2 linked regions of the Xenopus tropicalis genome follow. The protein of the gene in region 2 purifies or fractionates together with the protein of the main gene of each other region. This does not show direct contact. Links are inferred from orthologs where the notes say so. Each region holds a gene or a part of one and is shown on either strand. Other genes may lie near its edges.

The links. The genes of interacting proteins can lie anywhere in the genome.
Region 1: the proteins of ccnd1 (region 2) and cdk5 purify together in Homo sapiens (co-immunoprecipitation; 4 studies listed by BioGRID and IntAct, counting the BioPlex papers as one, with this or other methods). This does not show direct contact. The link is inferred for Xenopus tropicalis from reciprocal best matches to the Homo sapiens genes CCND1 and CDK5.

The regions. Positions count from the first base shown.
Region 1 is NC_030682.2:1,366,986-1,371,296, reverse strand, and holds the start of cdk5 (cyclin-dependent-like kinase 5), read left to right. Parts: upstream 1-1,408; 5' UTR 1,409-1,438; coding exon 1,439-1,475; intron 1,476-4,311. UniProt on the Homo sapiens protein: Proline-directed serine/threonine-protein kinase essential for neuronal cell cycle arrest and differentiation and may be involved in apoptotic cell death in neuronal diseases by triggering abortive cell cycle re-entry. Interacts with D1 and D3-type G1 cyclins.
Region 2 is NC_030680.2:14,450,211-14,452,565, forward strand, and holds part of ccnd1 (G1/S-specific cyclin-D1), read left to right. Parts: intron 1-720; coding exon 721-869; intron 870-2,355. UniProt on the Homo sapiens protein: Regulatory component of the cyclin D1-CDK4 (DC) complex that phosphorylates and inhibits members of the retinoblastoma (RB) protein family including RB1 and regulates the cell-cycle during G(1)/S transition.

The sequences.
Region 1 (4,311 bases), on a different chromosome or scaffold from region 2:
ATACCTGTAAAAACATCACGGAGCTCTGGCACCCTGTGTGTGATGTCATAGGGCACTGGCACCCCGTGTGTGATGTCATGGAGCACCGGCACCCTGTGTGTGATGTCATCGAGCACTGGCACCCTGTGGGTGATGTCATTGAGCCCTGGCACCCCGTGTGTGATGTCATGGAGCACCGGCACCCCGTGTGTGATGTCATCGAGCACTGGCACCCTGTGTGTGATGTCATAGGGCACTGGCACCCTGTGTGTGATGTCATGGAGCACCGGCACCCCGTGTGTGATGTCATCGAGCACTGGCACCTGTGGGTGATGTCATTGAGCCCTGGCACCCCGTGTGTGATGTCATGGAGCACCGGCACCCCGTGTGTGATGTCATCGAGCACTGGCACCCTGTGTGTGATGTCATAGGGCACTGGCACCCTGTGTGTGATGTCATGGAGCACCGGCACCCCGTGTGTGATGTCATCGAGCACTGGCACCCTGTGGGTGATGTCATTGAGCCCTGGCACCCCGTGTGTGATGTCATGGAGCACCGGCACCCCGTGTGTGATGTCATCGAGCACTGGCACCCTGTGTGTGATGTCATAGAGCACTGGCACCCTGTGTGTGATGTCATGGAGCACTGGCACCCTCTGGGTGATGTCATTGAGCTCTGGCACCCTGTGTGTGATGTCATGGAGCACCGGCACCCCGTGTGTGATGTCATCGAGCACCGGCACCCTGTGTGTGATGTCATGGAGCACCGGCACCCCGTGTGTGATGTCATGGAGCACCGGCACCCTGTGGGTGATGTCATTGAGCTCTGGCACCCTGTGTGTGATGTCATTGAGCTCTGGCACCCTGTGTGTGATGTCATTGAGCACTGGCACCCTGTGTGTGATGTCATGGCGCTCTGACACCCCGTGTGTGACGTCATGGAGCACCGGCACCCCGTGTGTGACGTCATGGAGCTCCGGCACCCCGTGTGTGATGTCACAGAGCTGAGGGAGAGGTCTGTACCCTGCTGTATGGTAGTTACCGGTCTCTACCCCTCAGCCTGATACACACAAAGCAACACGCCATATCCCTCTGTAGGCGCATTGTGAGGCCAATAACCCCAGGATTCCATAGCTCAGTGCCCTACTCCCACCCCTATTTCTCTCTCAAACACTATTAGCAGCTTTATAAGGAAAGGACAGCGCTACTGCAGGGGACAAAGCTGCATAGATGGGTGTACCAACATGGCCGCCTCCCCGCCCCCACAAAGCGTCCCATTCCTACTGTCTCCATGGTAACCGCTTCTCCGTGACAGACTGGGCGGGGCTAACCCTGCCGCACAGCGCTCAGTAAGAGGGGAATCCAGTAGCACAGATTGGATTGGCTGAAGTCTCCTTCCGGGGCGGGTCTGTACGCATGCGTACTGAGTGGAACAGTGAGGGCGGCCTGCCGGTGCTATCATGCAGAAGTACGAGAAGCTGGAGAAGATCGGGGAAGGTGAGTGGCCCCCGGGCCGTGTGTCTGCTGGGGGGGGGGCCCTCCGGCTCCTTCTGCTCTGTCACTGGCTGGGACTCCCGTCACTTGTAGTGCGGCCTGGTCCGTATTCAACTACAACTCCCAGTATCCCTCCCCAGCAGCTACTGTGTGTGTGTGTGTGTGTGTGTGTGTGTGTGTGTGTGAGGGACAGAGAGCAGGGAATTGTGGGTAAGGGATACCTGGATATGTGTGTGTGTGTGTGTGTGTGTGTGTGTGTGTGTGTGTGAGGGACAGAGAGCAGGGAATTGTGGGTAAGGGATACCTGGATATGTGTGTGTGTGTGTGTGTGTGTGTGAGGGACAGAGAGCAGGGAATTGTGGGTAAGGGATACCTGGATATGTGTGTGTGTGTGTGTGTGTGTGTGTGTGTGTGTGGGACAGAGAGCAGGGAATTGTGGGTAAGGGATACCTGGATATGTGTGTGTGTGTGTGTGTGTGTGTGTGTGTGTGTGTGTGTGGGACAGAGAGCAGGGAATTGTGGGTAAGGGATACCTGGATATGTGTGTGTGTGTGTGTGTGTGTGTGTGTGTGTGTGTGTGTGTGTGTGTGTGTGTGAGGGACAGAGAGCAGGGAATTGTGGGTAAGGGATACCTGGATATGTGTGTGTGTGGTGTGTGTGTGTGTGTGTGTGTGTGTGTGGGACAGAGAGCAGGGAATTGTGGGTAAGGGATACCTGGATATGTGTGTGTGTGTGTGTGTGTGTGTGTGTGTGTGTGTGTGGGACAGAGAGCAGGGAATTGTGGGTAAGGGATACCTGGATATGTGTGTGTGTGTGTGTGAGGGACAGAGAGCAGGGAATTGTGGGTAAGGGATACCTGGATATGTGTGTGTGTGTGTGTGTGTGTGTGTGTGTGGGACAGAGAGCAGGGAATTGTGGGTAAGGGATACCTGGATGTGTGTGTGTGTGTGTGTGTGTGTGTGTGTGTGTGTGTGTGGGACAGAGAGCAGGGAATTGTGGGTAAGGGATACCTGGATATGTGTGTGTGTGTGTGTGTGTGAGGGACAGAGAGCAGGGAATTGTGGGTAAGGGATACCTGGATATGTGTGTGTGTGTGTGTGTGTGAGGGACAGAGAGCAGGGAATTGTGGGTAAGGATACCTGGATATGTGTGTGTGTGTGTGTGTGTGTGTGTGTGTGTGTGTGTGAGGGACAGAGAGCAGGGAATTGTGGGTAAGGGATACCTGGATATGTGTGTGTGTGTGTGTGTGTGTGAGGGACAGAGAGCAGGGAATTGTGGGTAAGGGATACCTGGATATGTGTGTGTGTGTGTGTGTGTGTGTGTGAGGGACAGAGAGCAGGGAATTGTGGGTAAGGGATACCTGGATATGTGTGTGTGTGTGTGTGTGTGTGTGTGTGTGTGTGTGTGTGTGTGTGTGGGACAGAGAGCAGGGAATTGTGGGTAAGGGATACCTGGATATGTGTGTGTGTGTGTGTGTGTGTGTGTGTGTGTGTGTGGGACAGAGAGCAGGGAATTGTGGGTAAGGGATACCTGGATATGTGTGTGTGTGTGTGTGTGTGTGTGTGTGTGTGTGTGAGGGACAGAGAGCAGGGAATTGTGGGTAAGGGATACCTGGATATGTGTGTGGTTGTGTGTGTGTGTGTGTGTGTGTGTGGGACAGAGAGCAGGGAATTGTGGGTAAGGGATACCTGGATATGTGTGTGTGTGTGTGTGTGTGTGTGTGTGTGTGTGTGTGGGACAGAGAGCAGGGAATTGTGGGTAAGGGATACCTGGATATGTGTGTGTGTGTGTGTGAGGGACAGAGAGCAGGGAATTGTGGGTAAGGGATACCTGGATATGTGTGTGTGTGTGTGTGTGTGTGTGTGTGGGACAGAGAGCAGGGAATTGTGGGTAAGGGATACCTGGATGTGTTGTGTGTGTGTGTGTGTGTGTGTGTGTGTGTGGGACAGAGAGCAGGGAATTGTGGGTAAGGGATACCTGGATATGTGTGTGTGTGTGTGTGTGTGAGGGACAGAGAGCAGGGAATTGTGGGTAAGGGATACCTGGATATGTGTGTGTGTGTGTGTGTGTGAGGGACAGAGAGCAGGGAATTGTGGGTAAGGGATACCTGGATATGTGTGTGTGTGTGTGTGTGTGTGTGTGTGTGTGTGTGTGTGTGTGTGAGGGACAGAGAGCAGGGAATTGTGGGTAAGGGATACCTGGATATGTGTGTGTGTGTGTGTGTGTGTGAGGGACAGAGAGCAGGGAATTGTGGGTAAGGGATACCTGGATATGTGTGTGTGTGTGTGTGTGTGTGTGTGTGTGTGTGTGTGTGTGGGACAGAGAGCAGGGAATTGTGGGTAAGGGATACCTGGATGTGTGTGTGTGTGTGTGTGTGTGTGTGTGTGTGGGACAGAGAGCAGGGAATTGTGGGTAAGGGATACCTGGATATGTGTGTGTGTGTGTGTGTGTGTGAGGGACAGAGAGCAGGGAATTGTGGGTAAGGGATACCTGGATATGTGTGTGTGTGTGTGTGTGTGAGGGACAGAGAGCAGGGAATTGTGGGTAAGGGATACCTGGATATGTGTGTGTGTGTGTGTGTGTGTGTGTGTGTGTGTGAGGGACAGAGAGCAGGGAATTGTGGGTAAGGGATACCTGGATATGTGTGTGTGTGTGTGTGTGTGAGGGACAGAGAGCAGGGAATTGTGGGTAAGGATACCTGGATATGTGTGTGTGTGTGTGTGTGTGTGTGTGTGTGTGTGTGGGACAGAGAGCAGGGAATTGTGGGTAAGGGATACCTGGATATGTGTGTGTGTGTGTGTGTGTGTGTGTGTGTGTGTGTGTGTGTGAGGGACAGAGA
Region 2 (2,355 bases):
CGTGCTGTTAGGGATGGACAGGAGCCAAGGGCTGGCAGCTCAATGATTACAAAAGGACTTTCAGAGGTGCGATCTTGGGCAGAATGGGGCATTTGCTGATTTTTGTTTTGTTTTGTGAAAGCTCTCCGATATTTATTACTTACTGCTCGCTGTCGCTTTGGAACCCCGGAGACAATCCCTCGGCTCCTAACCTTGAAATGGGTCCAGGAGTTTAGAGAGCATTACCAGGTCACTTTGAAACGCCGCGCAAATGGAATTCTTTTGTGCACGGAAGCGAAAATGAGTCGATTGTGTTACATGAAAAGCGTAATGACTTCTACTGTACCCGGAGCGGCAGAGGCACAGGCAGGGGAGGGGAGGGAGGCACTGTGACCAGTTCTTTTCATTTCTGGCACGCCAAGCCTGCTCCGGGTAATGAAAGGTTCAGGGAGTCAGGGCGTACAACACCACTTAAGAGACGGATTTCACCAGCCTTCGGGGGTCTGAAGAAGGTTAATAAAGCTGAAACGTTACTGTTATGAAAGACTCTCTGATGCTTGTGCTTTGTAATCAATCCCCCTCACCTTACCCAAGTTTGATTGAACTTTAAAGTTGCTCTGATGAGTAAGCACTTGGCTCTTCCCACTCTATATATATATATATATATTTATATTGTAAGAAAGTGCTGATAATGCTCTTGCTCTCAATCTAATACGTTCTTCTCAAATTCCTCTCTTGCAGATATAAAGTTTATCTCCAATCCACCCTCCATGATCGCCGCCGGCAGTGTTGCAGCAGCCGTTCAGGGACTAAATTTGGGAAACGCCGACAGTGTCTTCTCCACTCAGCGCCTCACGCTTTTTCTATCACAGGTCATCAAATGTGACCCGGTAAGTCACACAGACCAATTATAGGAGATTGTTGCTTGGCTTGAACTCCTTTGCTTAGTGGTTTTGTAAAATGGTGCTGAAGTTTTGTTGGACCCTTGATATGCTGACATTCCAATGCAGTGGCTCAGCAGGAAAGGCCTTGAGCTGTGGCTGAGGGGATGGGGGGGCTCAGTCTGAAAGCCAATGAAAATTGGGGAGACTGGCCATTTGCTTTTCTACATAAACAAAAAGCATAGCTTGAAGGTCAGTTAGGGTGAAGCTTGTGGTCAATATGTATTTGATGCCCTAGATATTAGATGTTGAACAGTGTAAGCTGAGACTTTTAGTTGAACATTTTTGCTCTGGAATGTGTGGTTTGGGGGCACGTAATGAATCCCACAGTATGCACAAAACAAAGGCTAAGTAAAAAAAAAAGAAAGATCACATCAAACACAGGCCTTCTGGCATCTCCTGACCTTGGTTTATAAAGGCTGGTGGGATCCTCATTGTCCTGCCAAATGTGATGGACTTTTATGAAGCCATCTTTTAATGATCTCCTGGGCTTTTTACAGTAGCTGGTATTCTAACTGGGTGGTTTGCCCTCCCTCCCACTTCTCACTCCCAGTCCTCCAGTAGATGCACCTCAGTCATTTGGGAGCAATAAACCTTTTCCTGGCAATGAAAGCGACCAGGAAGAATAGGACAAGCAATGGTGGAAGTCAATGATCCATATCACAAAGCTGTGAAGTTGGGGCGGCTTCAAGCTTTGTTCTGGAACAATGTCTTGAGTCCACTACAGAAGAACGCTTTAAAAACGTCCTTGTTAGGTTCACAGGCGACTGGTTAATGGAACAAGCCCCTCAAAGATGTTTATTGAGCTTCACTTAGGGCCCGAAGGTAGAGATGTGTGAAGACCAGAGAAAGAAGAGCTGCCTTTCAAGAGGCCCCCCCAGGCCCAGCAGGGTTGTAGTTATACATAGAGGCTACAAATTGGACTTAGCTTATACAAGGATTATACAGAGATGGAATGTTCTCTTCATTGTGCCCTAGTCATTTGCTGTTTATTTAAGACCTATAGCACACCCTACTCAGAAATGGGGTTTATGTTATCCTTATGTATATTCTTTACAATTTTCTTTGCTCATTCAGCGTATTGCCTTTCCTCTTTGTCAGCTGCCATTGTTCCTTTATTGTTGAAATGAGAAATATATATAAGCACTAGCCAATATCAACCTGTCTTTCCAGTAGTGCCGCTACCAGTAATATACAATATGTCTGTCAACTGTTGAGTGTTAAGTCGTCAGTGTGCTTTCATTTCTTATGTTCCCTTTGTTTAACAGAAACATTACATAGGTCCCTCCTAGATTCCGTTATGGTATCTAAGATGCCCTTCTTGATGACCTCCCATAGCCATCCTGTTGTGTTATGTTCCCCTTATTATTAGTTATCATAGGGTTGGGCCTTGTGGTCAAGAAGTACAGTGTGACCTTATTTGGGCTCAAACCTC